Linked DNA regions of Rattus norvegicus. The protein of the gene in region 2 purifies or fractionates together with the protein of the main gene of each other region. This does not show direct contact. Links are inferred from orthologs where the notes say so. Each region holds a gene or a part of one and is shown on either strand. Other genes may lie near its edges.

Region 1 (3,743 bases), on a different chromosome or scaffold from region 2:
TTTGTCACTTTTCTGAGGTACAAATATTCCCCTGGGCTGTAGCGATTTCACTGTGTTAATGATGTCATTTCCTGGCAACAATGGGCTGCAAACTGGTGTTCTGCTGGGCCTGGTTACTATGCAAATGCTTCTCTGCAGCTTAATGGAGCTTCTGTCTTTCTTTTTACAGTGCCTACGACAGGAAGCCTCCCTCTGGGTTCAAGCCATTAACCCCGCCCGCCACTCCTTTGTCACCCACCCATCAGAATTCCCTATTTCCCCCACCTCAGGCAACTCTGCCCACCTCAGCTCTTGCCCCTGGAGCCGGCCCAGTTCAAGGGGTGGGTCCTGCCCCAACCCCTCACTCGCTTCCAGAACCTGGATCACAGCAGCAAACATTTGCGGTCCCCCGGCCACCACATCAGCCCCTGCAAATGCCAAAGATGATGCCTGAAAGCCAGTATCCATCAGAACAGAGGTGGGTACCACCCTGCACTAAGTTTCTCCTCTCTCATGTCCTTTTCTCATCACGAGAGAGGAGCAGTTGGTCACATTGGCCAGGGGTCTGTAAAGTTCTCACTCCATTGACTCTTCAGTGGAGTATGGATGTACTGTGGGTATGGCTGACTATATAGTACCCTGTTACAGAGGTTCTCAGAATGGTTTCTAGGATTCTTAGGAAGCCTGTCGACGCGCTTCCAGCCAGGGTGGAGGGGTGACTTGCTCAGATGCACAATCAACCCACCAGTTTCTGGGCTCCTGAGAGACTGCCCGTAAAGCTGACCTGTAGTGCATGCCGCTTTCAATCATGCTATTACATTCTGTTTGCATCCGGGGAAGACTCTGAGTTACAGAAGCCAGTGTTTTTCACATGTTAGCCTATTTCTACGATAAAATGAGCTAGAGAGGTTAGTGATAACACCTGCTTTTGAGGTAGAAACTTCCTGGTTTCCCTGTAGGTCGTTTCACGTGTCTTAACGGTTGAAACGTCTTGGTTAATTATCCGGAGTCCTTCACTCATCAAACAGAAAGGTAGAGAGGGATCCGGCTTTCGACGTTCATCGTGCTGGTCTGGAAATGCGGCCAGGTGTGGACTTACTCATTACATGTCAGACGCTTTTCATCTGTGTTGACAGTGACTCATCAGTGGTGTTAGCGAGGACAGCAGGATGGGAACCACCACTCTGCTGGGGGTGGGCCGCACTCGGAGAAGGAAGGGCGCTGATGGGTTCTACTTGGCGTCTGTCTAGAGGTTTTTCTTGCTTCTGGTCCTGTCCCCACTTCTAACCCACAGGATGCAGTTGACTGATAGTCTTTCCCATAGTCAAGCCAAGAGCCACAGAGAGGCAGTTATGCTATTTAGAGCCCCCGAGGTGATCACCCATCTGGGGGCGCCTGAGATTTGTGATACGGCAGAGACACTGGTTCATGAGTTTCTCTTGCCACACAGGCTGCGTCTGAAAGAAAACAGCCGCCACCAGGCTTTGGCGGTGTCATACACTCATAACCTTGTTCTTTGTCAAGAGAATCGATATTCTTATGAAAAAAATAAGACGTTTGGGTCAAAAGTGGTGAGCTTTTGCCGTTTTTATTCTGGTTTGGGTGTGTGTTTTTTAAACAGAATCTCACTGGTTTCGTGCAGGAGTTGGTTATTAATGGGGGAGGGGAAGATGCTGGGGCGAATTTGTTCGGTATTTGAAATGCCTGGCAAGTGTAGGCATAGGGAAATTGCCTTGTTAAGTCCTTTTGATTAGCACCTTCCTGTCTACCCTCGTTTCTTAGCCTGAGCGATGTGACAGTTTGTATGAATTGGCCTCACTGGAGGAGACCAGGCATCAGTTGTAGAGTAGACAAGTCTCCTGGCTGCCTACCCTCTAGAAAGGAGATTCAGGTCCCCAGGATTTATGACTATCTGCCCTCAGGTCCAGAGGGAAAGCGTGTAGGTGTCCTTTCCAGATGAGTCTTTTGTGAAGTGGCCTATCTGTCTTGAACTTCCTGCTTCTTTTCCCTTGACCTGTAGTAATGATGGGTGACAGAGACTCTGGAAACCTGGGGTGAAAGGTGAGCTAACGTGTAGGCTTCTAAAATGACACAGTAAGCAGTACTGAGGTGCTTGGGGCTCCCCTAGAGCACTGCAGCCTCGAGGCTGAGGGTGCACACAGGAGCACCCCCCCTCTTCCCACAAGGATGTGGAGATAAAAATCCAGATCCCAGCAGGGAGAAGTTGCTCGGCCTGAAAAGTTTTCTGTGAGAGCCTGAGTCGGAGTCTCAGGCCCCTGTGAAAAGGCCAGGAGAAATCCCTAGGGCTTGCTGGCCAGCCTGCCTAGCGTGGGTGGTGGGGTCCAGGTCCAGTCAGAGACCCTGCCTTCAAAAAACAAAGTGGAGAGAGCCTGAAGTTGACCTTCTGTGTCTGCCCACACTGTATGTTCATGCGTGTGCCCTTGTTCTGCTGGAGACTGAGTTGGTAGAGCTTCAGCGAGGCTATCAGTCACTTAGATAAACTGTGACGAGGGCTCTGCTTTGCCTCAGCCCCTCCCAGCCTGCCCTTGTTTAGTGTAGGTTATTCTGTAGGATAAAGGGAATACAGCTCTACAGCCAAAGCAGAAGTCGGTTGTCATTGTGTTTTAATTTTTCGGTGAGAAAGCAAATCGTGTTCTGTATGCATAGGATTGTTTTTGAATTGCAAACAATCCACAAGGATCACTGAAAAGCTGAGCACCCTGGAAGGGGCCATTTTGTCCTTGACCTTTGCTCTTCTCAGTGTCTTTGAAGTTCCTGATTTATCTCCCATGGGTAAGATGTCTTTTGTTCCAGATAGGCCCAACCTGTTCAGACTGCATCTTTCTCTTTGGACAGGATGTTAATGGCCTTCTGCGTATTTGTTGAGAGTGGCGGTCACTTGCTGTAGTCATGCTTTAAACAGCTAAAATAAAACACAGTCGCCGTATATTCTTAGAGTTTCATGTAATCTACCTATATATCTCTTCACAACTCAGTTTATTTTCGGAAGATAAATACTGTATTTGAAAGCAGTGTTTTATATTGGTGGTTCCTCCCACACGGTGTGGGAGGGGATCATGTATTTGGCGTGCTACAGCGTGTTCCATTTATACTCCTTAGAACTCTTTAGTTTTTCCTCTGGCCAGACCAATCTTGATGGTCATACTTGCTGAGAACTTAGAAGCTGTATTCTACCCTCAACACGTGGGGGGTGGGGGTTGTTTCATTTTTTTTGTTTTGTTTTTTTTTTCTTTTCTTTGTATTGTATCTCAATGAAGAAAGCCTCACAATTTAAAGAGGCTTCACAGAAAATTTTTTTAAAAAGTCCCCCATCTAGGAATTTTGAAATACTATGCCGTCTCCCACACTTGGCATCAAGAAAAACAAAAACTAAAGACAAAACTTAAGAAAATGTCCCTATAGTAGAAAAAAAGGCAAAACAAGGCTGCTTTTGCATGGTACACAGGAGCATCCGGTAATGTGGTTGGTAACGGTGGTCGGTCACTGAAGGAAGGTCACCCAGGCATCAGGAGGTCAGCCCCGGGATGGGCCACCAGCAGGGCCCTGTAGTCAGTACTTTGTGAAAGAGGAGAGTACCAGCTGGTTGAGAGCTGTCTTCCTGCTGTGTGATCTGGGCCTGATACCTGACTGAGCTGTTTTCTCCAACTTCGATTGCATAGAAACCATGATGCTCGATAAGTTACAAGATTGACTTCCTCTTGGAGTCCATCCCTGACAAACTCATTCACTCACCATTGCCCTCC
Region 2 (4,297 bases):
CACACTTTAAAAAAGTTCTGAAATAACTAACAGAAAATGTTTGTTCGTTATAATTTCAGAGGAAAGTGAGTTTTGATACACTTAAACTCTTGGAGTCAAAAATTCTACTCATTCTGTACTTTAAGCAAAACAATTAATTTACTAAGACAAATTACTTCCTGTCCCAAGACAGCATAATCATGGGAATAGGGTCTAGTGATCTGTCATATTCGTAATTATGTCATAGTATCTTCACTGTATTTTATGCCTAGCTGGTACAATCTAAATTTGGGATAACTGACTTAAAGTAAATGCTTCAAGTATTGTAAAGAAAGAAAATTAAAGTTTTAAGAACTTTACTAACTCGTACTTTATTACCTATCAATATTATTAATGATAATTAATAAGCAGGCAATGAAAAGTATTCTCTATACTCATTTACAATTCAATGTCTTCTCATGCCTATGACATCAATTCAACCTCTCCCCAAGGCATAAGGTAAAGTAATTCATCTCTAGCACTCTCTAAAAAAAGCACCCAGTTAGTTTTTTAATCTCTACTCCAAGTAATCAGTAAACCACATTAAAATACAGCAAGTGAATGTGTAAGATTCCCAACCCAGTCTACCTGAGATTCTTGTTCAAAGTCTGCTCCTTCATTCCTTTCCCTGTTGCTTTGTTTTGGACATTTTGTTTTGTTTGGTGAGTCACAGGGTCTCTCCCTATAGCCTTCCCTGGCTGGCCTTGAGTACAGAGATCCCACTGCCTCTGCCTCTTCAGCAGTGGGAGTAAAGGTGTGTGTCTCCATGTTAATAACTACCTTCCACAGTCACCAACAAAATCATAGCCCAAGCTCTCACTCTTCGTTCGTAAGTTTTCTAAGTTTTCTCCCTGCTTCCAAAGGTATGATGTCAGGAACACGCCCTTTTTCTCTTCACACGGAAACTGAAAGCACTTTAAAACCCTAATCAGACCCACTGGTTTTCCAGCACGTTTCGGCTTCATCCCACTAGTTGTCATCTCTCGGAAAAGCTCAACTACCTAAAACAGAATATTCTTGTAAACATCTAGCCTGCTAACCTGTTCTTCTGAAGGCTCCATATTTATGTTATGTACTCCTGTGACTGTAGACAACTAGACTCTCTCCATAAAGGCACAAGCTTTGTCATCAAGATTTAGCACACACAAAAAAACTGCCTGATCTCTAATGAGAGGCATTCAACAAATAAACAAATTTTCAAGATTCATAAAACCTAATAGACTAATAGAATAGTTAAACAATGCTTTCTGTTAAAAAACTGAGTGACATGAAATTGGGAATGGAGTACCAGTTTATTATTGAAATGTTTTTGATGCTGAACCATTTCCCTGTGTTCAGTCACAATAAACAAACAAACAAAAAAACAAAACCCCAAGGGGGTCGGGGGAGATAGCCCTGTTGTCAAGAACACCAAACATCAGAAAGTGAATGACAGGATTAGTGATAACAGATCTTGTCTTTAGGATTGCTTTTAAAAAATTAAGAAATAGGTGAATTACTAGCTAAGCTGGCTTTTGCTCTTATTTAGATAGTACTTATTTCATAAAATAAATTTTATAGCTAAAGGTATCATTTGTTTCTTGTATTCTATAAATAGTCAAATAAAGCTATTTCTAAAATCTAGGGAGGTAGGTGGGGTAAGAGATATGTAATTATTTTATACATAACATAATCCCTGCTGTAATGGTAGGAGGATTTTATAATTTATAGTATGAAGTTTAATTATTTTTGAATTTTGGAAACAAGGTCTCATGTAACCTGGGTTGGCCTTGAACTGGCTGTGTAACCAAGGGTGATTCTGAACTCCTAATCCTCAGGTTTCCATCTCCCAAGCTAGGAAGAATACAAGGACAGATGGAAGGATTGTGAGTCTGAAACTAGTCTGGGCAACACAACATGTTCTTAGCCTCCTTTACACACCATTGCACTCACCCCCTCACCAAGAAAAAGGCTATACTACGTATAGTGGTACACACCTTGTAATACTAGTACTCTAGCACTTGGGAAGCCAGTTGACCTGTAGCAGAAAGATTTTAAGTTCAAGGCCAGCCCAGGATAGTAATGAGAAACATTAAAAAAGAATGAATGAATGAATGAATGAATGAATGAATGAGAGAGACAGACAGACAGACAGACAGACAGACTTAAACAAACATGTCTTTCTAATACTTTCATTTTTAAAGCTGGGAAAAGTAACCACTAAAATTAAACTAAGTTGGAATAAAAAAGATTTAAATTTTTATTTCATTATCATTTCAAAAGAGGGTCTGTGTGTCCCTAACTAGCCTGGAACCTGCTATGTAGACAGAGTAGTCTCAAACTCACAGAGATCTTCCTGCATTTGCCTCCTGAGTGTTGTGATTAAAGGCATGTATGTGCCAGGATCAAAGCTTTTATCTTATTTTTCTTATTACTATTTCATGTTCCCATATTTTGATTTAATATCTGACATTAATTTTAAAAACATCAAAAAAATTACCAAACTTTTAATCCATGTGTAAATTTAACACTGCAATATCTACCCAGTAACTTAGTAAAGATTGACTCTCTGCACCCTATTTCTCAGTGGTGTCACAATCTTCATTAACAAGGCTCCTGGGAACTACGGTCCCATGAACACTTAATGCAGAATTCCCAACAATTACTGATGTAAAGCTCTGTACCTGTGCGATGGAGAAGGAGCTTCAAATTGAGGCACCGTGCTATCTTCACTGACGGGGGAGTACAAGCCACTCATCTCCTGAAATTGTAAGTATATGAGTTACTCTACACAGTCCAAACAGAGGATGTATAAATCAAGCAAGCGTACAGCATTATAGTCTGTTCTAGCCTCAGCTTTTTATTAGTCCCCTTTTGTCTTCAAACTTCTCAAAAATACCTTTCATAGAGTACAAAAGTAAAGTTAATCTGAAATCAAAAAGGAAGCCTTGCCTAGTGTTAAAGAACTATAATTCCTAATAAATAATGCTCCAACTAAAAAAGCCTCAAATGAAGAAAAGCCCAAAGGAAATACATCCAAAAGGACATGCAGTGTACTTTTCACACAGTGAACTGACTATTCACACAAGGGATGATCTATTATCGCATATTAGGATAAAAGAGACGAGAGATGGTGACTAGATTACAACAGTCAAATCTCCAAATTGACAAAAACTGGGAATGTCTGCCACTCTCTAGGAGTAATCTACAAGTAATTAAAAAAATTAACATCCTTGAATAAAATACTGACTTTGTTTAGCAATGACATAAATTTTTGCTCTTTAACCTAAAGGGGCTAATCAAAGATGGTCATATAAATTATAAATTATGCCTCTGAATCTCACAACTGGCCTTTTTATGTGGAATGTTCTCATTGATGGAAAAGTAGCAAATTTGAAAATGCAACTATAGATGCATAATCAGGTAAAATTATTTCTGCCGTAGCTCAAAATAGCTAAACAGGTAATATAAATATAATAAATTAGTAATATTAAAAGGCATACTGAATTCCGATTAAATACCATTCATTATCCTTTGAAATGTTTTTATGTCAGCAAAAGAAAATGACATGTGTGAATTAAGAGAGCACACTAAATTTAAATTTAGTCAGATTTAGTGACCTCGACTCACAATAGTCTATGAATTTCCCATGAATTTCTGTACGTTATCTGTATTTTATTATGAATTCCAACAATAGTGCCAATGTATTTATATAATTTTTAATTAACATTAGTATACATTAATATATGCAGTAGAAATGTAAAAATAAATTTAATAAAGGATGAAATAATGAATCATCTTAAGGAAATAATGAAGGATTAGTAGTAAATTATTTAATTTAATTGGACTGCAAAAAGAAAATTAGACCAAATTTTGTTCTGTTTAATCAAGAATTACTGCAATGCATATTAATATAAATTTAGATTACAATTTATCTTCAAAAAGTATTCAGACTTTGTCTCCCTGCACAACTGAATTGTTAATTAAAATTATGAGAGTAAAAATTATGAGTAAAATTATGTTAAGTAAAACTATGAGAAATGTGAGAATTTCTTGATTTCTTACTTCCACTCTTTTAATATCCTCTTCCAAAACACTTAGTTCCTTCTGGATCTGTTCCAATTGCTGTAGATTAAAGAAAGGGAGAAAAGAAAAAAAATTCTAATCTAAACCACATTGTCAACACCATGGAAAAAATGAACCTTACATTTGGTTAAAAAAAAAAAAGAAGAAAAAGAAAAGGCTTACTAAACTGACCACTGTGGGAAAAAGAAGGGGACTGAAAGAGAAGAAAATCAAA
Region 3 (4,305 bases), on a different chromosome or scaffold from region 2:
GTCCTGTCTGAAGAGTCCAGGTGAGAAACCATTGTGCCTGAGAGGACAAAGCCACTGGAAGGGCTGCTAAGGGGCTGTTCTTTATTAGTGAGTTTCTCTAAGGGGAAAGTGCTCAGTCCCGTGGCACAGTTGTCTGAGCCCCATACAGCATCCCTTCCAAGAGCCCTCATCAGAAAAACAGTCCCCGCATCCGCCTGCCGATGCCTTGTCGGTCATACAGGACGTTGAACTTGTTCACAAACTGGTTCATTGTGTTGCACGTTTTGGTGATGGTGCCGAGGTAGGCCATAAGCCCCACGTCATTGCATTGCTGGGAGGGAACAGAAAGAACCAGTTCCCCAGGGGTCCCTCATATTAGCCAATGACACTGAGTTTCACCTGCCTGAGGTGGTTGTGAGCCCCACCTCCCCATCAAGGGTATTAACACTCACATCATAAAAGTCTGTCTTGAACTTGTCAGTGCTGAGAACTGGAAGACAGTGGCATAGGGCATAGGCCTCCCGCAGGATCTCATGGTTGAAGGGAACCTCTCCTAAGGGCACAATGAGGCTGCACTGATGTGGATGTTGTCACTTCTCCAGGAGGGAGGAAAGATGGTTAAAGGTGAGGTACCTCTCCTACCTGCTTCAGAGGCCTTGACGTACTCTAAAATGAGCTTCACACGGCTGTGCAGCATCTTGATGGCGCTGTGCTGAGCTATGAGGTGTTCAGCCACTGCAGGGGGACAGGACAAATGAAAGGTAGCAAGTGGCCACACCCAACCCATACCTCCAAAGAACTGAATTCAACCCCCTTACCAGTGGAGTTCTCCCCACTGCCTGTAGCTGTCATCCGGGCCACATGGTCTACACCGATACGTTCAGCTTCCTCAGTGGCCAGAGTGTAAGTGAGTTCAGCAAACAGCATTGTGGCCTGCAGAGTAAAGGGTTCTCAGCAAGGAAACAGGGCTGGGCAGACGGCTCAGTGGGTAGAGCGCTTGCTGCACGAGACTAAGGATCAAGATGTGGCAGCATGTGTCTATAATCCCAGAACTTCTACAGCAAAATGGGAAGTGAAGACAAATCCCAGAAGCTCACAGGTCAACCAGCCTGGCAAACACGAGATTCTGTCTCCAGGTAGAAAGCTACGACAAACACCCAGGGTTGCCCCATGCCTGTGCACATGTGCACAGCATTTAGGAGACAGGCTAAAGCAGGATTTGAAGATTGCAGGGTAACTATTACCTCTCCATTGATTATATCGATGACAGACTCAAAAACGCTGACAGGCAGCTGTAAAAACAGACGGAGACAAGAGAACAGCTCTTACTAGAAGCAAATGCACTTGAACTTGCCAGGCTGGTTTTGAACTCACAATTCTCTTGCCTCAATCTCCTGAGTGCTAAAATTGATTACAAGTGTTGTTGCCACACTTAGCTCACAATTTTCTCTCTACTGGAGTAAGTTTTACCCACATTACATATGGCGACACCACTGAAGAGATGAAGTTACACAACTGATGGGCGTAAGTAAACAGCAGCGTGGAGATTCAACTCAAGCGTTCTCTAATACACATGATGTCACAGAGTAAATCAGAGCAGAGGCATATAGGGGCAGATGATCAAGACAAAGGGGTCATAGGGTCAACAATACTCACATCTGTGTGCTTGGTCATAGGGTTCAACTTCAGAAAGAGAGGACTCTCAATTATCTCGCAAACCTAGAAGACAAAGCCCAAAAAAAGTCAGTATCTCTTCTTCCCATAACCTTCTGTTCTCTTCCCCAACATGCACACATGTGAGCTTTTATACCTGCTTATGGACGTGGATGTCTGAGGGGTCAGGTGGCCCCCCTGTGGTATACCAACCCAAAAACTCCAGCTCCTTGAAAACCTGTTTAACTGGAGAAGAAGGGGCCAGAGTAAATATTTCTTTAAACCTCTCTTCCTGAGTTTGATGGACCTGGTGTGTTTCCTTACCGGCTTTTCCCTTCCTCCCTCCCTCAAATTTTGGGTCAGTTTAGCATAACTATACCTTTCTATTCTAAATACAAAACAAAAATCTCCCCACTTCTCCTTCCCGCCCACTTCTATTCCCTTCTCACACTGCTCCTCCTTGGTGTAATAATATTCTTTGTCAATGATAATCTTCTTTTCCACGGTGTGAGACAGCAGCTCAAAGGAGTTCATCACTTCGATATTTCGCCCCTCCTGCTTCCCGATCAGAGCCCCAATCACTAAGGAGAGAGAAGCAGAAGTGCAAGGAAAATAGGTGAGGTTCAAGCATCGAAAACCTTTCCCGAGACTCTGAAGTCAGTGTGTATTAATGACTGGGGAAACAGTAATTTGGAAAAGGGGGCGGGGGGAGGGACTGGAGGAGATCTCCAAGAGGAGATCTCCAAGAGGAAATTTTGAGATTTACACACAACACTCACCCTGCATAGGCCGCCCCTCCTGGGAGCGCATGCGGATCCAATGGTCTGAGATGTTGAGGATGACAAGGGGATGAAGAGCGACGGAAACACTCCCAGTCACTCCGGAGGCCATCACGCTGGGGACTGTTAAAAGTGAAAGAAAAACATAGCGGGTGAGAGTTCGGGCCCACACATTCTCCCCTAGACATGGGAGCAGAGGACCGGTAGAGCCGGGCCGTTCATCCCTGCCCTCAAGTTATCCTGGGAGAGATGTCGCTTCTCCCGGGCTTAAGAAGTACTCAAGACACTCCGCAAGGGCGACTCCAGAAGTCGTTCCCTGCACCCCGTTACCTGCTGCATCCACCTCCATGCCGCTGCTGCCTCCGCTCCCGTTCGCCGCCGCCGCCGCCGCCGCCGCAGCCGCCGCCGCCGCCGCCGCCATTTTCCCCGCGCCCGCCAGCCACGGCCCGCCCCTTTCCATCTCGGCTTCCGTCGGCGAGCGGCGCATGCTCAGTGTGTACTCTGTGTTGCTAATGGGCGGGGCGTCTGCCAGTACTTGGTAGCCCATGGTTCTCAGTGTGTTGTGTTGTGTTGTGTTGTGTTGTGTTGTGTTGTGTTGTGTTGTGTTGTGTTGTGTTGTGTTGTGTTGTGTTGTGTTGTGTTGTGTTGTGTTGTGTTGCTGCTACCGGTTCTCATGAAAACCGGCCTGGCCATGAGTTCTGTATTGTGTATCTAAGAATGACTTTGAACTTTTGGTCTCTTGCCTTTACCTCCCAAGTAGGGCTGTTAGTTTCCAGGTCTCAAAGGGGATACTTTGTCAATACTAGACGCAGAGAAAATTGCGATCAAAAAGAGGAAACGCTGTAATTTATTAAGGATATAACATTTTTCACGTTGCATATAATCTATAGTGACATGGTCACTTGTTTGTTGAACTGCGGTCTAACCGTGTTGCCCAGCTGGCTGGGAACTTGCTATTCATCTAGGCTGAGTTCAAACTCAAAGAGATCTACCTGCCTCTACTTCCTGAGTGCTGAGATTCAAGGTGTGCAGCGTGCCCAGCCTGCCTTGTTTTTAAAACGGTGAGCAGGGGGGCTGGAGAGATGGCTCAGTGGTTGAGAGCACTGACTGCTCTTCCAGAGGTCCTGAGTTCAATTCCCAGCAACCACATGGTGGCTTACAACCATCTGTAATGAGATCTGATGCCCTCTTCTGGTGGGTCTGAAGGCAGCAACAGTGTACTCATATAAAACAAATAAATAAAAATATTGAAACGGTGAACTGAGGATCTAAAGTCGGTTCCTAACACTTACAAAGCAAGCACTTTATCCCCCGAGCCGTCTCCCCAGTGGATTACTCCAACTGTTCAGCTGCTTCTTCAGTTGCAAGGCAACTTGATTCTACACAACCTAGTGACTGCTACTGGGAAGGCTTGTGGCCCATGCCTTTAATCCTCGCACTTAGCGAGGCAGAGACAGGCAGATTTCTTGAGTTCAAGGCCAGCCTGGCCAACAAAGTGAATTCCATCACAGCCAAGGTTACACAAACTCTCACAATATAGGGGTTGGGGGAGAGTTGCCTTGGTCATGGTGTCTCTTTACTGCAATAGAACAGTGATTAAGACAAGTATGTTTCCCACTTGGATCAATAACTGAGGCTAAGCAACCTCCTTTAATAGTCAAGAAAAAGGGACTGGAGAGATGGCTCAGCAGTTAAGAGCACTGACTGCTCTTCCAGAGGTCCTGAGTTCAAATCCCAGCAACCACATGGTGGCTCACAACCATCTATAATGAGATCTGATGCCCTCTTCTGGTGTGTCTGAAGACAGATATGGTGTACTTGTAATATGTAATAGATAAATCTTTAAAAAAAAAAAAAAGTCAAGAAAGAGCATTTGGCCCACAGTCATTCATTT
Region 4 (4,257 bases), on a different chromosome or scaffold from region 2:
ATTTTAAAAGTGCCATCCTGACATTGTAGTTTAATCCCAGGACTCAGGAAGCAGAGGCAGTGGCTCTCTGACTTTGAGGCTTAGCCTGGTCTACAAAGTAGCCAGAGCTATGCAGGTGAGACTCTGATTCAGAAAAAAAAAAAATGTGGACCTACTTGACTTAGGAAAAGTGGCCCAAATGATCCAAAGACACCACAGGAAAAAGCTCCCCTGTGTTGGGGGCACAAGCAGTGCAAAGGCCCTGAGGTAATCAAGACATCAACCTGTTCTCAAATTGCAGGCAAAGCTCGAAGGTGGCCAGGAGGACGAGGGAGGCAGTCATATGGGTGGGCCATGAGGCAGCTGGGAACAGCTCAGAGTTTGTGGATACAAACACCTGGAAGGAGGGCCCAGTTATGATGGAGAAAGAAACCAAAGTTCAGAAAAAGGAAGTGGCCTGTGAGAGGCCACCCTGGATGCCTGCTAGAAGCTAGTGTCACAGAGTTGATGTGGCACTTTGTTGCTTTTGACTTTAAACTCAGGTGTGCTGTAAAACGTGAACCATGGGACCTTAAAAGAAAGATCTAGGGTAGCACGGAGGAAATAAATACACAGACTACCCTTTCTTTCTCCCCCAGAGCTTGGTCCTGTCCCGGCACCTTTGCACAGGAGAAGGGGTGAGCTCTCTGAGACAAGGTCTCTCTGTGTCTCTGTGGCTGTCCTGAAACTCAGTAGGTAGACCAGGCTGGCCTCGAACTTACAAAAATACACCACTCAAGTGCTGCAATTAAAGGTGAGTATCAATGTGGTTGGCCCTTTGTGCCTCCTATACCCACAGCGGGGACACACTGCCTTTGGACCCTCCTCCCCATGCCTCCTTCAACTTCTGACACGGCCGCCCTTTATCATCTTCGAGGCCCTCCCAGACTGCCTTATGCTCCCCTGCATCCCTACGTGTCTCCTCCTCTCTTTGCTTCTCCCTCCCCACTGACACCAGCTTCTTTTCCATCATTGCCCATGCTCTTCTGCTGTGTGCACATGTGTGTGTGTGCACATGTGTGTGTAAGTGTGCACGTGTGTGTGTGTGTGTGTGTTCTTGTGGCAGGCAGAGGAAAGCCTCTGTTGTCATTTCTCAGATTCCATCCCATCTTTGTCTTAGGATTTTTTTTTTTTTTTTGGTTCTTTTTTTTTCGGAGCTGGGGACCGAACCCAGGGCCTTGCACTTCCTAGGTAAGCGCTCTACCACTGAGCTAAATCCCCAGCCCCAGGATTTATTTTTAATCGTGTGTGACTGTCTGTCTGTCTGTGTATGAGTATGTGCACACGAGTGAGATGCTTGAGGAGGTCAGAGCCCTGGAATTATATAGGCAGTGGCGAGCTGCCTCAAGCGGATGCCAGGAACAGAACTTGGGTCTCCGAGAGAGTTACAAGCACTCTTAATCACTGAGCCATGTCTCCAGCTCTTTATTCATTCTCTTTCTCTCCTCTCTACCTGAGATAGAGTCTCTCACTGACCTCTGAACAAACTCCCTGAATAGGCTAGCTGGCTGACCAGCTATCTGGCTCCAGAGACCTGCCCGCTTCCACTTTCCCAGTGTAGAATTACAAGCGTGCAAGCAATAGCACTGGGTCTAGATTTGTTTTTTCATTTTCAAACAGGTTCTCAGTATGTACGCTAGGCTTGCCTGAATATCAGAGCAAGCCTCTTGCCTCAGCCTCTCTAGTGCTAGGATTACAGGCATGTGCCACCACACCCCGATTGGGTCTGGTTTTTGACCAAGGCAAGTAAGTACATTGTACGTGTGGTGCTCCATGTCAGTTGAAGAACCCAGTGATAACCTACAAAGCTAGAAAGCGGCAGTCCTCTGGATCCCAGGCCTTTTGCAGGGTCCTGGGATGCTAGGGGGAGAGCCCGTAGGATATACCTTGCAGGTGTACTCTGTGCCTGTGGGGCAGTGCAGGGCCCGATAGGTGCAGTTGCCTTGCTCTCGTTCCAAAAGGATATAGGGCCCCAGCCGGGTTGCAGGGGCCACAGCAGGTGACAAGTCTGAGGCGGGAGGTAGGCTGGGGGTTGGTCCAGGCTCAGGCTCATCTCTCACTCGTTTTAAGACTGGACACTCGACATCAATGTTGTCATCAAACTCCAACGGTTTCTTCCTGCAGGGAACATCGGCAGAAGCAGCCAGAGATGTGGCTCGCATCTAGAGAGAAGGGAAGAAAGGCTGTTTGGTACTTTGTCTTCCCTGCTAGGACCCTCCGGACAGCGAAATATCACACTGGGTTTCCTGAAGCTCACTAAACATAGTGCTCTCAAATGCAAGGACTGCTAGAGAGGGAAGGAACCCGCGACGAATTGAAGACTTAACGTAATAAGGAAAGCTGGGCATAGAGAGGCACCCCTGTATCGCCAGCACCGTGGGGACAGAGGCAGGAGGATGGCGAATTCCCGGTCAGCCTGGGCTGCATAATAAGCTGGGGGCAACGGCTCGGGCTCTGGGCGCCCCCAGACGGCGAAGTAAAGGAGCGAGAGAGTGAGAGTGAGAAGAGTGAGAGTGAGCAAAAGAGAGCGAGAGCGAGTAGGAGAACGGGAAAACGAGAAAACGAGAGAGGGAGAGAGGGAGAGAGAGAGAGAGAGAGAGAGAGAGAGAGAGAGAGAGAGAGAGAGAGAGAGAGAGAATATAAATATTTATGAATATGCCTGACTCCCAACAACCTTCTTGCCAGACCTCTTATTAAACCCCCTTCGCAGCTCCCTTCTGGGTACCTTGTCCTGAGGTCTCAGAGCCGCCTGCGCCCGCGCCCGTGGACCGCTGCCAGCCTCACTGAGCCTATCTCGGAGTCCCAGCACGCCCGTGCCAGACCCCAGCCGTCACGTACTCAACAGCAGCCGCTTCCGCTGCTAAAGTGCTGCGGCACCGGGACGCCGGCTCCGATCCCCGCCCGGCTGATGTAAACCTGAGCTAATCTGCTGCTGACGCCCAGAGGCCGGGGATTGCACCATCTGACCCGCCCATGTCGCCGAGTGTGCTCCGCCCTCACCTTAGGAGCCACACGCCCCCTCCTCCAGCCTCCAGCTCCTGAAGTAGCACTAGGAGCCACCGACTCTCCTTATTCAGTACTTTACACCTATTTCCCCATATATAAAATGAGAATAGTGGTAAAAGGAATGAACGGAGGCTGTTTAAAAATCTCATCAATCCCCTCCACTCTCTACCCCGTAGTCGGGCAGAGGCAGGTGGATCTCTGAGTTCGGGGCCAGCCTGGACTACAGAGTGAGTTCCAGGATATACAGGGCTATACAGAAAAACACTGTATCGAAAAACAAACAAAACAAAACAAAACAAACAAACAAACAAAAAACAAATATCGCCTCCACACCCCACTAAGGACTGGGCTAGAAGCCCCACTCTGAATCCTGGGAAACTTCCCTCCAAAGCAACCCTTTCAAGTACACACTCATCTGTAGCTCAGAAAAGCCACTTGGCACCTTACTCGCTAGCGGTGTGACTCTGTGAGAACACAAAGCCAAAAACAACCAAAGGAAGCAGAGCTTCAGCTCCCTTCTCCATGAAATGCTGCTCTCTTCATAGGGTTGCTGTGAGCATCAGTAAGTTCGTGTGTGCAAAGCTCTTAGAACAGCTGGGTGTGATGCACGTCCAGAATCTCAGTTATTAGAAAGCCTAAGGCAGGAGGCTGAATTGATGCAGCTCTGGCTTGCCTGAAACTCACTCTGTAGCCCAGGCTGCTGCTGTCGAACTCAGAGAGATGTACCTGCTTCTGTTCCCCCAGGACCGGGACTAAAGGCCTTGTTATCAAGCTAAAAGAAATGTAATGGCTGCAGCGGGAGACGCGAGAAGGGTCGTAGCTCAGCCACAAAACATTTGCCTAGCATAAGGTAGGCAGTGAGTCCAATCCTCAGGAACATCAGAGTGCAGTCTATGGGACTTGTAGGCACTCCGTAAATAGGAGGGAGCCGCCGGGCGCTGCAAGCGGAGGGATAGAACAAGATTCCGGCCACAGCCAAAGCTAGACATAGTGAGACTAGTCAAAGGGGTGACAGCTACCTCCATTCCTCCACCCTGGCAAAGCCCCAAAGGCCCAGTGCCTTTCCCGATACTCTAATTTATATCTTGATACTTGAGTTTATTCAAGTCAAAAACAAACTTCCTCCAGGAAGAGCTACAGGGAGGCAGGGCTGCGTTTGTTACTCTGGTTCGAGAAGCCAGGGGACCAACTCTCTTGGGTCTCCCTCTCCCGACCCCCACATACCCCAGAGGA
Region 5 (3,743 bases), on a different chromosome or scaffold from region 2:
CCTCCTGGGGACAGGGGCTCCAGTGGAGTAGGCGTGAAGCATCCAAGAGTCCGCACACACATGCCACATACGAGAGTGAAGCACAGATTCAAGTAACATTTACATACTAGAGTCCACGTGTTACCTACCCAAAAACAGGACCATTTCACAAAACATATGCAAGCAGTAAAACCCAAATGACTGAGGTACTGGGAACACAAATATTTATGCCAAAAGAGTTCTGTATCATACAGCAATAAAAAAGCCAGAATACAAAAGGAAAACATTTTGCCACTCGAAATCAAATAAGGCTATCTAGAGAGAGCCAAATAAAAGGTTATTCCAGGGACAGATATACTCAAAACAGGGGAATAAAATTATAAATGTTAAACTACAGCATGTAACATGTCATCCCATTGACCCGTAATTGAAGTACTGGCTTGATACATCACAATGTGACATTTTCCTTAATAAATACAAGGTGCGTATTGGGACAGAGAGCTGTTTGTATGTATATCATCCTGGCTTTTGGCTTATTGCCCATTTACTCCTTCTGTTCAAACCAGAGGGCCTTTCCAAGCCCAAAGGATCATTCTTAGCAAAGAAAAGGAAATAGCTGCCCTGTATTTTATACACATGGGACAACCTGTCTTGTTTTACTAGTTTCCCATAAAGCAAAAACAAAATGTTGAGATCAGCATCATCAAAAAGATCTGACTCCAGGAGGCGCCTGCCCTCTGGGACCCCCTCACCGTATTTGGAGCAGAGAGCAATGTCTACAATGTGAACCCTCTTCCTTCAAAAGAACAAAAACCAGAAAGGAGTTGTATTTTTCTCTTTTCCTTTCTTCATCCCCTGGACTGTGATAATGTATCTGGAAGTTTGACTTCATATAGTTTCTTGCTACAAAAACCAGCTGATACAAAACAGAAATGTCTGTGAAGGAATAGACTTCCCTTCCCCCTTCAGGGAGCAAAGCATTAACATGTCACTTCCTAACCAGAATAGGAAATTGTTTATTTAGAAGAAATGAATTGGAAAGTGTGGATGAGAGACGACAACTGGAACTTTTGTTTTCTTTTAGTTTAGCACCCAGGTTTCAGGTCAGTCTGTGTGCACCGAATTATTATTATTTTTTAGGTGAATCCTATTAATTATTACATAGGTGGTTGGCCTGTTCGAAAAAAAAAATCTTCGATCAATTGTCCCTTCCCTGAATCGTAACAAGAAGTTAAATGCTAACAGTGCAATGCCAAGGTATGTGTTTGAGGCAGAAGAGTTTCGATTCTATCGAGATCTGCAACTATTTCTGAACAAAATGAAAAGTGGGGTAGACCAGATAGCCCTACTGGTAAGGGGGACTCTCAGGCTACCCAAGGGAAGAGAAGTTTAGGGGAAGGGCTCCCGTCCATCTGAACCCAACCCCCATCCCACACATCTTGTTCCCATGCTACATGTTCCATCATTTCCTAGAACATATTCCTTCTCTGAACCAAGAAATGTGTAAATATGATGGGTCCGTCTTGCTTCTCAGCCAGGCCACCTGTGTCCCAGAACTCCTTTCTGGAGCTCTCTCTCGCTCCTGGTACCTGCTATGTGTCCCTGGGCCTTAAGCTCAGTTAAAGAAAGGGTCCAAGTTCTCCTCCATGTTGACGTCTGGCACCAGCTGGTCACATGCCTCTTTAGCACCAAATCCCGAATTTGAGACACTAAAATCTGTAGAAAACCAAGGATGGTCCAGAATTTCCTGTGAGGTCAGCCGCTCTGAGGGCTCCCGTCGCAGGATGCTTCGGATGAGGCACTTGGCCTTGGGAGACAGAGTTTCTGGAATGTTGAATTGGCCCCTGCGGATCTTACTGAAGAGGGAACTAGGCTCAATGTCATGGAAAGGGTAACGCCCCACCAACATGGTGTACAGCATTACCCCCAGGCTCCACACGTCCGCTGCCTTGCCCGAATAACTGCCGTTGGTGTTCAAGATCTCTGGGCTGACATATGCTGGGCAGCCATGCTTGTCAGAGAGGGAGTCGTCATCACCCCGGAGAATGTAAGCGTCTTCCAAACTCTCCAGCTTGACACGAGTCCTGTAAGAAAGAGACAAAGACAGAAGCTCCTAAGGATCAGGGAGACACATCCATCCCATCAGTATATCAGGGCTGCTGATGTGTGTTCATCCATCCATCCATCCATCCATCCATCCATCCATCCATCCATCCATCCATGTAAAAAGTTGGATGTCACTGATAATGTAGAATACTAAATATGGAGACTTGGGTAAATTTCTTGAAGCCTTTTAGCTAGGAGGTGGATAAGAATGCCTAACTTTGCCTTCTGGTTCTTTAGCTGTGCCCACCGCTTTTCTTTAGGACACAGGCAGAGTCAGGGAAAATTTCGGTTCAAGTAGTCTCCACAACCTACTCATCTAAGCCTAGCATACGAATATCAAATTGATCTTCATTTCCAGATATTCACCTGCCCTTTCCTGCCTGTCACACTCCCAAAGCCGGGGGTCTTTGACCTGGCACCTCTCTCTAATTACAGATGCATGGTTCACATGTGACTGTGTACCTGGGTAGATGGGTGTGACAATAGCAGTATTACCCTAAGCGTCCTTTCAAACAATTTATCCCACCCCACCTCCCCCAATCCACCAGCTTTTCAAGAACCCAGCAACTTATCCATACAAACATGCAAGCCCTAGATGTGCTGGGAAAGCTGGAGAAATGCATGTGAAATTCTGAGGCCTCAACACCCAGCTTACGCCATTAGCATGACATGCCCCCATGGCATCATCGTTGAGTGTGAAATAAAGATATATACTGTGAAAATAAAAAGTCTGGAAAATAAGATGACTTCTTTAATCAATCAGATTAGTGCAAAACAAACTGGTGCCAGGCATGGGGGTACACACCTGCAATCACAGCACTTGGAAGGCAGAGGCAAAGAAGATCAGGAGTTCAAGGTCAACCTGAACTACACAGCAAGTTGGAAGCCAGCCTGGGCTTCATGAGACTGGTAAACATACTGCTTCCCTGTGTTTGAAATGAAAATCCTTCTCTCTTCTCTCAGAGAGGAGCACCATCCTTTGAGTGGGCGGTTTTCACAACATTCCTAGAGTCCTGCTAAGATGGGAGCTAAGGACAGTTGGAGCTGGAGTTGGACCTCTGAGGCACTTAAAAGACCTGCAAATTCACATTACTTCTTCACATCTACAAGTACACACAACCAGGCATTCGTCCTGCTTGAGTACACAAGCTGTCGAGTTCAAAATAGTGTTTGGGCAAACTACAACAGGGCCACCTTGGTCATCACTCACAGCATGTAGCCCAAGACCATCTTCCTCCCATCTTCTCTCTTTTCTTCCTCCCTCTACCTGCAGATCTGTCTCTCAAGGTGGTCTGAAAAGTCCTTGATAGCAACTAGTTAAGCAGAGCTGCTGGGAGCTCTGTAGTAGAGTTGACAAAAGATGCGTTTCTTCTAGGATCTCCTATGAACATGTTTCAAAAATCAAGCACTGATTGCTTTCCTAGATAGTGTGGTCTTCAGGGGTGTAGACTCCCAGTCAGACTTATCTCTCACTAGCTGTGTAGCTTCAGCTAAGTCTCTCAACCTCCCTGTAAAGTGGAGTACTAGAGAAGGCAGTGTGTGTGTGTGTGTGTGTGTGTGTGTGTGTGTGTGTGGTTTATTTGGGGAGGACTGCTTTTATTTTAATATGGTAAATTTTACCTTAAAAGATTAACCATCGTAACCATTTTTGAGCATCC
Region 6 (4,456 bases), on a different chromosome or scaffold from region 2:
GTAACGCGCATACATGTGTGTGCGCATGCCTGTGCGCACACGCACTTGCTGTCACACTGACACACACAGACAGACACATGGACTATCACCAGACCCACCACCAAGGGGTGGGGCTTCCATGGTTGGGTGAAGAGAACATTCTCCATCCCGTGTCATTCAAAAAGACCAAATACTGCCAAAATGCCACCCTGAGCCCACAGCTCACAACTGGGGAGCTGGCCACTGTGAGGACTCTCAGCTGACGGGCAGGAAACCCAGAGAGCCAGACCAAAATCAGTAACTAGGTGGTAAGAAAGGGTTTTTTTTTTTTTTTTTTGAGAGCCCATGGAGACCCTGAGTTCTTTAGCTCCAGAACCTGAAGGGGGTAAGCCAACAAAGCTCTACATGCAACTGGGAGCCGGGCATTCAGGACATACAAGCAGAGGAAGATACATGCTACACTCATACCCTCCACCCTCATTGCTCATTTCAGAGGCTAAGCTCCATGCTAATAGTCCTTCTCTGACACCGCCGCCACCACAATAATCATAAAAATGACAAAAGCAATAAGTGTGTGTGTGTGTGTGTGTGTGTGTGTGTGTGTGTGTGTGTAGAGACAGACAGACAGTGGCCAAGACAGACCTCATCTTATTCCACAGACCGACTTAGTGGTCCTTTCCTTCTCATCCAAGCTTCTCCTGTAGAGAATCCTGCAAGAGGTGGATCTGAGCTTTTAAATTCCAAAAGAAAGGTACCCACCCACAGTGGAAGAATGAAGACCCCTTAGGAAGAGAAAAGACCTGAAGAAGGTGCTCACTTTTGGTTTCTGGGGTTTTTAGAGTATTAACACAAAGGGGGTGTTAGTGAAGATGGGGGTGCTAGTGCTTCCTGAATCTCAGGGACTGTAAGTCACCATGCCTCCTTTGACTGGCAGCCCTGCCAGCATCACCCTCAGGCTAACTAACCTCACCAAAACACAACAACTAGAATCCAACTAGGACATCTGCCCCACCCAGCCCACGCTGGGCTACTGACCCCATCCTGGCCAGGGCTCACAACCCTCCTGCATACAGGAAGGGGAGCACTGCCTGGGGGTGGAGGTATTCAGGAGGGATGGAGAGAGAACCAGTTGCCACTGGAATTATAATCAAGGCTATTTGGGGAGGCAGCCCTGAGTCTTCTTTGCCAAAGTGCCAAGAAGAGAAGTATTGAAACTTTTGTTGTTATTTTGGCTTGGTCAGTAAATTGGCCCTCAGAGTTAGGAAGAAGTGAAATGGAGAGAGAAGAAAAACCAACCAATGTTCCAGCAACTCCAGAAGATGGGTAATAAATTACTCCTGTTTTTCATTGCTGTCTTTCAATACCTCAACACCCCAACACTACACCTAGGCCAGGCGCCTCCTGCCAAACAAACTTTGCAAATGAAATTTTCAACCAGGAAAAAAAAAAAGAAAGAAAACAGGCCTGGGGCCAAGTTCCATTCAAATAAGCGAATACCCCACACAATAGTCTGATTCATCCCCAGGCCTAGTTATACAAGCCTGGCTCAGGGCGAGAAAATAAATATCAATATAAGTGTCCACACTGGGCACCAGGGAGAGAGAAATGGTTAGGGACTGGAGGGAGGGGGTGGAAAGACTCCTTGAGACAGAGAAGATTCCCCACGACCCACTTCTAATTTTAGGAAGGAAACAAAACTACTCACCTTCAGCGAGCCACGTCTCTTGGAAGTGACTGAGATCCTGGAAGAGATCTGATGGGTGAATATTGGATTGGTGAAGAGGTGGAGATAATATGGGGAGAGACCTGGCGTGCCCGGGTTACAGCCTCCCCACTGGTGATAAGGGACAGAGTAAGAATGAGTGATTTGACTTTTGGGGAAATGTGGGTCCAGGATAGGGCTCTGGGATGGATGTGTGTGGATTAAGGAGAGGGGTCGCAGTTTGTTTGGTTCTTTACCTTCTGAATCGGAAGGCGGCAGGGAACCCGGGTCCATGAGCTTCCCCTGCGGGACCATCAGCGCTTCGCCCAAGCTCCCATTTCCGGGAGATTTCTGCTGGAAGGAGGGGGGGAGAATGCCCCCGAATCACCCTGAGGAGTCTAGCTTGGGGTTGGGGGTTGGGTCCCGGGGTGGCTCAGGGGCCAGGAGGCCCTGGACCCACTGAGACCCCCCGGGAGGGGGTTGCGGGGCGAGTAGGGGCGGGGTGCGGGGCGGGGGCGGGCGTGGAGGCCGGCGCGGCGCTCACGCTGCAGAAGGTGTAGGGCACTCGCTGGTCCAAGTATCCGCCTTTCATCCTCCGCTCCATCCGGCCGCTCCCTCCGGCCACAGGGCCGGGCCCCCGCGCGGAGGCAGAGACCTGGGAGGGGGGAGGCAGTTCGCACACGGTCCCGGGAGCGCTGCGGGGGGAGGGGGCGATCGCGAGGCTTTGGATCGGACAGCGAAACTTCTCCGACTCGCTGGGACCTGCGCGGCCGAGCGCCTCCACCGCCACTCCCCTCCCGCCAAAGGAGGTCCCACCTGCTCCCTCGAGCTGGGGTCGGCGTGTCTGCTTTCTGCAGCCCTGCTCAGCCGGGACTAGGTTACATAAGACGTGTGTGTGCGTGCGTGTGTGTGTGTGTGTGTGCGCGTGTGTGAGTGTGTATATGGGAGCGCGCGCGGCGCACACCATTCGCACGCCTATAACTCGGGCGCCCCCTCCAGCCTCGAATCCCGACGCCTCCCACCCCCGCCCCGGAATGTGCGGAAGCGGGCGCCGAACAGAAAGAGTGTGGTGTGTGGGAGACGAATCGGGGAAATCACAGACACTCTCCCTTCCTTCCCCTTCCGCAGCTTCACCTGAGGTCGGGGCGTCTGTGCAGGAGCCGTGGGGGGATGCTCAGCATGCCCGGGGGATGACACAACTAAAGTGGCGGGGCTAGGCCTGAGCGAGGCGGCCTGAGCCCCGGGTCCCCAGAGCCCCGGCTTGTTTTCCGGGCGCAGCAGACAGTTGTGAGCCCCGGGGAGCAGCTGATTGGTGCATTTCCTTTGCCTTGGCCTCCGTTCTCGCTCTTCCCCCGCCCCTCCCCACCGGTTCCCTTTGTTTCATTGACTTTTGTGAATGAAACCCCAGGGCCAGGCACGCCCGCCAATCCTCAGACTCCGCTAGCGGAGCTTGAGGGCGGAGTTTCCCAGCCACGGGGGCCAATCAGAATGTAGGGGCTGGCTCCCGGCTCCATTCACTTTTTGGACTTCCATTCATAAAAAAATAAACTCCTTTCGGCCTTAGTTCATTCATAAAGAATTGAGAAAAAAAAGAGGCTTCTCCACCAGTTCCAGCTTGGGCTTTGAGTCTAAGGACCCCTGAGCTCCTCCCGCTGGCGTTAGCACACACGCCTCTGTGCATCTATAAGTACGTGGGAGTGTGAACACCTCTGTGTGCCCTGGGGGGGAAGGGGAGGCGAACGGACTTGTGCTCCCAGAGGAACCATAATAACGAGCATTTATGAAGCGCTCTGCCTCCACGTGCTAATTTCCTTCCCTAACGTGGTGCTGCGGAGCTGTTTCCATTTTACTTTACAAATGAAAATGGAAGAAAGCTAAGAAAGACACCATTGCCCCTCACCTGAGGTAACTCAGCTTGTCAATACTGCGGGACATTAGCGTTTCAAAGCCACCGCGGTCTTCTGTGCAGCCCTCGGAGACCAAGAGCTTAAGTGAATTAAGCTATGTGAAAACAAATGGATGCACAGTTGGTGCTCAGTAAATGTAAACTGGCTCGAACGGTTTTCTCAAGGGCCTGTGATCTGTGGAGACGCTTTATCTGTGACCTGCTTTATCATTCACTCGCGGTTTTGCAAACAAGAGGCTCAAGGATGTCCCTCTGGCTGCCATCTTACTCCTTACCTGAAGGCAAGCATCCGATGATAGGAAACAGAAATCTCAAGGGACTGGGTGATCAAAAGGCAGGATGGGTTTCAGTTTTGTTCAAGAAGTTGATCTTGGTGTTTTTGTCACTCGCTCATCGATTCCTTTGGTAAATAGCTGCCTTGCCAGACATGGTGCTAGGTGGCAAGCAAGTGTGAGAAAGACTACCTCCCTTGGGGTCTGGGCTGCTCTAGCTGCGGTCCCAGGGATCCACAGGCCCACCATACTGCTTTCAAAATTCATCTCTCCAACCAAACACTACAGATAAGGCAGAGGGGGCTCTGAGAAGGAAAAGGTACATGCAATCTCTTGCAGCCTGTAGGAGTCAGAGGTGGGACAAGGGCATCAACTCCCTGGCACCTAAATTGGGCTCACTCTGCTGCATCAACTCCTCCCCTTTATCTGCCAAACAGTTCTTTGAAGCTTGCTGCAGCTGCTCTCCTCTAGGGAGCCTCCCTTTCAGGAGAACCCGGGTCAGTCCTTATATTTGGCAAGGGATCTTTCATTCTCTTTCCTGTTAGAGAAATCCCTATGTAGTTACGGAGAGAGCTCTGCAGCGCCCAGAAGAGGACT
Region 7 (4,460 bases), on a different chromosome or scaffold from region 2:
CTGTCAGCCTGAGCAGCCCTGAAAGGTATGTTTTCTTGGCTCAAGAAGGCCTTCCTGGACCAAAGAAGTCTCAGAGTACCCACGGTCTCTGGAGCAGAAGAGGTGGGAACAGGCGGTCCTGTTTTGGGTACCTGAGCTTCAAGAGATCCCTATGTGTATCCATACCAAGCTTCTCAGGCACGTGGTCAAGGTGTGAGCATAGGTGCGGGGAGAGAGGGCCCACAGACACACTCCTTCAGATAAGTCCGTACCTTCTGCTGGTTTTTTTTTCTTTCCTTCTTTAAGTTAGCATATGCCGCTCCATGTCTCCATGGAAACGGAACAGGGAATCTGTCTTCTATTTAGGGAGTTCCTCCTTGACCTGGGTTCTCTGGTCCAGACCTGAATTCACACGGAGAAGCCCTGAGGAAATATCAATCCCCTGTGAACCTAGCTGTTTTAGCTTAGTGGATTGGGCCTTGACTCCTGCAAAGGTGATACACTAGAGAGAAGTATCAAATGCAACAGTATCTTGATTGGCAACAACTTCAGAAGGGGAGTTGCCATGGAAACCAGGAACCCTGAGTACAAGGGAAGGTGGGACCTTCTACTCCCTTCCCAGCAAGTCTGTCCTTGTACCAATCGTCGGTCCCGCGGCCTTGACTAAGCCTGCCATTTGCAATTTCCTACAAATCTCGGGTATCGATCTAAACTCAAGGAGGAACGCAATAATATTGAACGTACACCTATGCCTCCGGACCAATCACATAGGTTTCCAATCATGGACTCGGCGCCTTCTCACCAAAAAGGAAACCACCCTCTGGCTGGTGTTTTGACCATGAGTTTGGGAGAGTCACGTTGGACTTGGCATGTTGTTGACCTGGCAGACCATGTTAAGTAAAACACCAGTGCTTTGAAGCATTAGTAAGACTAATAATAGATGGCGCCGGAGTGCTCAGCTAGGTTGGCGCTAAGACTCGGCTCAGCCCTAGGGGGCGCTATCCACACCTAGGTAGTAGGAGGGGCCTCCCAAGACTCAAGCGGCTGCGCCACGTTCTGCTCTTCCACTCGCGACTCCGCCACCCGCCCACTTTGTGCCTCCCTAACCCCACGTAAGAGTCTTTTCACGTCGGAGGGACCAGAAATCAGGACCCACACGTAGCTCCAAACACAGGACCGGTTCTACCGCAGAAGCCTAACCACTCAATCCAAGTGCCACCAGGGCCCCCAGCTTGGACCTGCAGACGGCCGTGCGCCAGGGAGACGCGGGCGGACACGGCCCTGCCCTTCTAGCTGAACCTCCTGGGCACAAGGCCCAAGCTGGGCCTTAGGAGCAGGGGCCAGCAGGCAGGCGACAGCCGGCTGCAGGGGCGCAGGGAAGGGCCCGGGAGCAGCGTGGATCCGCCGCTGCGGGAGCACACTCTCCTCCCACGCCGGCCTCGCGCTTGCTCCTCCTCCGCGCTCCCTCCGTCACCCCTGCTGTCCCCTCCCCCGGTCCCCTCCGGCCCTCCCCCAGCTCCAGAAGAGCGCGCGGCCAGGGGATCGGGCTGGTTACTTCCTCCACCGCGGTGCTGAGCACGGAGTGGACACCACTAAGGCCCGCCAGTCCCTGCCACCGTCTCCGACCCCGCGCGCCCGTATCGGCCCTACGCCTTCGTCTCGCTGGGCCTTGCCGGCCGGGACCGCCGCGATCTCCTCTCCCCGCCGCCCTCCGGCTGGCCCTGCTTGCTGCGGCGCGGTAAGAGCGGCCCCCGTGCGCGACGTTCCTCGGGAGGGACTCCGCCCGGGGTGGGGTGCAGTGCGGGCGGCCCCTGCTCCCGCCGGTTGATCGCGCGCCCCGGAGCCTCTCCAGCTGGTTCCTAGGCACCCAGTGGCCTCAGCCGGGGATCCGGGAACCGGGCCGGGAGCGGGCAGCCCGCTTTTGTTTTAGGGAAGCCAGTGGTCGCTCTGTGCGGTTCCTGCCTGGGGCGCGGGTCTGTGTTTCTCCAGGGGGCTTGAGACACCTGGAGAGATGGCCGAAGTAGCCCCAGGTTTGGGGTGACTTGAGTGGGAGAGGAGCTAGGCCTGGGAGGATGTGGGGGTGTCCGACGCCTGAAACACCTGGGAAGTTGCGGCTCCCGGGAACATGTCACCTGCTCGGCCAGCTCTCGGTTCCCCTGGACCCTGGGAAGCCAGTACGGGACACGTCCAAGTAGGGGTGCGCGTGGCTGTTCTGCTTTTATTTTCCCCGTAGAACATATGAATGAAGGGGTAACCCGAAGCGTTTGCATATTTGACCTTTTTTTTTGGTTTTAATTTATTATTTAATCTCATAAGACTTGTACTAGCCTGCACTCAATTTCAGGGGAGCCTAAAATAGTAGTTGACTCGCTACTAATTTAGAAAGTAAAGCAGTGTGCAGTCCTGGTTGGAGACAGGAGTCATTTACTGTTGAGAGAGAGACTTACTCCCTGCTGTGAAAGCTCCTGCGCCCTTATCAGTCTGCCCACAACGCCAATCGGGAGATACATCTCCGTGTTAAGCTTTTATTAAAATCTGAGTAATCTTGCAGTACAGTTAATGTGAACACCGCGCATCCCACAGGGAAATAGTCAAACTCTCATATATGGAATTAGTCATTCATCTCTCTAAACTGATCGCTAAGCGAAAAGCAAACCAACCTTCAAAAGGTTTTTTTTTCTTTTATTTTTTTTAACCTAAATTTTACCTAAATACAAACCTATGCTCTTTTATGTAAGTGATTACCTGTTCCAATAAGGATACAGTTATCCGGGAAATTCTTGTTTCAAAACTTAACTATTCTCAGCCATTACATTTCTGCCATTTTCTTCCATTTCTTGTACACCCCCCCCCCAACCAAAGTACCAAAAAGCTCTAAACTTGAAAATTGATTTATCTAGAGTCTTGACTTGTCCCAGGGGTTAGCAAGCACATCCAGTAGGATAAATGGACTTAAATTTGATTAGCCGCGTGTCTGCCTGAAGCCATTTAGTAGAGGGCTTTAATTCTACATGGTTTTTTACAAAACTCATTAAAAGCCAGGCAACAAAGGAACCCTGTTCTGTAGCCAGTAATTACAGCTCTTTATGTGGGAGTTTGAGCCTCCCTTTTCTGCTCCTGTTTGTACACAAAAGGCAGGGGAGCTCTATTCTAGATCTCCAAAGCTATTCTCTGCCTATCTCAGAAGCGAAGAATCACGGTGAAGTCCCCAAGTGTCTGCACATTGGGACCACAGAAAGCGCTATCCGACTGGCCCTGGAGGGAACATGTGGACACCTCTGTCTGTGTCGCTGGTTTTCTGAGGGTGGCTTGTGTTTAATCAACAGGTTACAGGGCTGACTTCATCTAAGTAGGCGACCTGAAGTTCTCAGTTGGCGGGCATTTCCTAGGGCTGAAGTGTGACAGAAAGGCCTGGTTTAATCATAATTGCACACTCTGCTTCAGTGGGCTGTGGTAGGCAAAGCCCACTCAGCCATGGCTAGGATTTAAGGCCCTACTGATCTGAGGTGAACCTCCATAGACACCCCCACAGGAATGTGACCCGGGCCAGTGACTCAGTATCATCGGGCCTCAGTTGTCTCGGAATAAGGTGATTTTCCTTTTGGAACCCGCGCTCAGGAGGATTGAGGACGTGGGACTTGGTCTTCCCATCAGGCATTCTGTCTAGCCTTCATCTGTGAGGAATATTGAACATTCAGTGAGTGTAGCTAAATAATATACCAAGGGAGAGCCTGAACAAATATGCCTTCTCTGGAGACTGCACAGGCCCTGCTGTGACCTTACCGGGAAGGTGGCTCCTTCAATTCGTCTCAGCTTTTCTGGACTATTCTAACCCAAATCTGCAATCAGAAGCCTCCCCCAGGATTCCTTTCTGCTCTCGATGCCTTCTATCAAGGTGTGAGTGTGCACATGTGTGCACTCACTCGCACATGCTGCACATGTCGGTATAGGCATGTGACTAGTATGTGTTAGTAGGGAATTGTTAAGCCATCTGCCATTGGCCATAATGTTGACTATAAAAAGACACAAGAAAGGGGAATCAAAGGAAGTTTAAGTAATTCTTTGAGGCTATGCTATCTGCTGCCTCTAGTGAGTTCTATCAATTGCATGCTAATTTTAGTGACAGTGTGTGGTTAGCAGGTGGGTGCGCATGAAGGAGAGCGGAGGGTGGGGGCGGGTGGGGGTGGGGCTGAGGTTTGCACACTCCACACCATGGAGCTATTGAAGGCTCCAGTTCTGTAGCTCAGAGCCTGGAAGACAGGAGCTGCCGTAGAGTGATGGTGTGTGGAAATGAGGTTCGGTGACTGGGTCCGTCTAACACTCTGTTACTGTTGAAGGGCCTTCCTTTATTTAGTGTGTCACTTGCTTAACTCGTAACTACACGTTAGGGCCCCAGAAAAAGAAAATTTCAGACCCCTGCAAGTCACATTTTTTTTCCTTCAAAACAGTCTTAAGAGGTCAAATTGATTTTACCTCAGTCA

Evidence for each region.
Region 1: the proteins of Cop1 (region 2) and Etv5 purify together in Homo sapiens (affinity purification with mass spectrometry; 6 studies listed by BioGRID and IntAct, counting the BioPlex papers as one, with this or other methods). This does not show direct contact. The link is inferred for Rattus norvegicus from reciprocal best matches to the Homo sapiens genes COP1 and ETV5.
Region 3: the proteins of Cop1 (region 2) and Cops6 purify together in Homo sapiens (affinity purification with western blotting; 3 studies listed by BioGRID and IntAct, with this or other methods). This does not show direct contact. The link is inferred for Rattus norvegicus from reciprocal best matches to the Homo sapiens genes COP1 and COPS6.
Region 4: the proteins of Cop1 (region 2) and Trib3 purify together in Homo sapiens (affinity purification with mass spectrometry; 5 studies listed by BioGRID and IntAct, counting the BioPlex papers as one, with this or other methods). This does not show direct contact. The link is inferred for Rattus norvegicus from reciprocal best matches to the Homo sapiens genes COP1 and TRIB3.
Region 5: the proteins of Cop1 (region 2) and Trib2 purify together in Homo sapiens (affinity purification with mass spectrometry; 4 studies listed by BioGRID and IntAct, counting the BioPlex papers as one, with this or other methods). This does not show direct contact. The link is inferred for Rattus norvegicus from reciprocal best matches to the Homo sapiens genes COP1 and TRIB2.
Region 6: the proteins of Cop1 (region 2) and Etv4 purify together in Homo sapiens (affinity purification with mass spectrometry; 5 studies listed by BioGRID and IntAct, with this or other methods). This does not show direct contact. The link is inferred for Rattus norvegicus from reciprocal best matches to the Homo sapiens genes COP1 and ETV4.
Region 7: the proteins of Cop1 (region 2) and Ets2 purify together in Homo sapiens (affinity purification with western blotting; 3 studies listed by BioGRID and IntAct, with this or other methods). This does not show direct contact. The link is inferred for Rattus norvegicus from reciprocal best matches to the Homo sapiens genes COP1 and ETS2.

The regions. Positions count from the first base shown.
Region 1 is NC_086029.1:92,140,606-92,144,348, forward strand, and holds part of Etv5 (ETS translocation variant 5), read left to right. Parts: intron 1-169; coding exon 170-457; intron 458-3,743. UniProt on the Homo sapiens protein: Binds to DNA sequences containing the consensus nucleotide core sequence 5'-GGAA.-3'.
Region 2 is NC_086031.1:73,999,240-74,003,536, reverse strand, and holds the start of Cop1 (E3 ubiquitin-protein ligase COP1), read right to left. Parts: upstream 2,939-4,297; 5' UTR 2,759-2,938; coding exon of another isoform or gene 2,756-2,758; coding exon 2,682-2,755; intron 1-2,681. UniProt on the Homo sapiens protein: E3 ubiquitin-protein ligase that mediates ubiquitination and subsequent proteasomal degradation of target proteins.
Region 3 is NC_086030.1:22,151,256-22,155,560, reverse strand, and holds Cops6 (COP9 signalosome complex subunit 6), read right to left. Parts: upstream 2,874-4,305; 5' UTR 2,872-2,873; coding exon 2,742-2,871; intron 2,535-2,741; coding exon 2,412-2,534; intron 2,214-2,411; coding exon 2,082-2,213; intron 1,879-2,081; coding exon 1,790-1,878; intron 1,699-1,789; coding exon 1,636-1,698; intron 1,272-1,635; coding exon 1,224-1,271; intron 913-1,223; coding exon 798-912; intron 715-797; coding exon 622-714; intron 533-621; coding exon 432-532; intron 311-431; coding exon 170-310; 3' UTR 34-169; downstream 1-33. UniProt on the Homo sapiens protein: Component of the COP9 signalosome complex (CSN), a complex involved in various cellular and developmental processes.
Region 4 is NC_086021.1:161,272,623-161,276,879, forward strand, and holds the start of Trib3 (tribbles homolog 3), read right to left. Parts: upstream 2,912-4,257; 5' UTR 2,744-2,911; intron 2,181-2,743; coding exon 1,905-2,180; intron 1-1,904. UniProt on the Homo sapiens protein: Inactive protein kinase which acts as a regulator of the integrated stress response (ISR), a process for adaptation to various stress. Inhibits the transcriptional activity of DDIT3/CHOP and is involved in DDIT3/CHOP-dependent cell death during ER stress.
Region 5 is NC_086024.1:44,275,049-44,278,791, forward strand, and holds part of Trib2 (tribbles homolog 2), read right to left. Parts: intron 2,064-3,743; coding exon 1,595-2,063; 3' UTR 1-1,594.
Region 6 is NC_086028.1:87,219,171-87,223,626, forward strand, and holds the start of Etv4 (ETS translocation variant 4), read right to left. Parts: upstream 3,033-4,456; 5' UTR 2,863-3,032; coding exon of another isoform or gene 2,816-2,862; intron 2,655-2,815; exon of another isoform or gene 2,377-2,654; coding exon of another isoform or gene 2,286-2,376; coding exon 2,226-2,285; intron 2,181-2,225; exon of another isoform or gene 2,036-2,180; coding exon of another isoform or gene 2,033-2,035; coding exon 1,939-2,032; intron 1,733-1,938; coding exon 1,685-1,732; intron 1-1,684.
Region 7 is NC_086029.1:48,489,565-48,494,024, forward strand, and holds the start of Ets2 (protein C-ets-2), read left to right. Parts: upstream 1-1,492; 5' UTR 1,493-1,717; intron 1,718-1,746; exon of another isoform or gene 1,747-2,104; coding exon of another isoform or gene 2,105-2,176; intron 2,177-4,460. UniProt on the Homo sapiens protein: Transcription factor activating transcription. Binds specifically the DNA GGAA/T core motif (Ets-binding site or EBS) in gene promoters and stimulates transcription.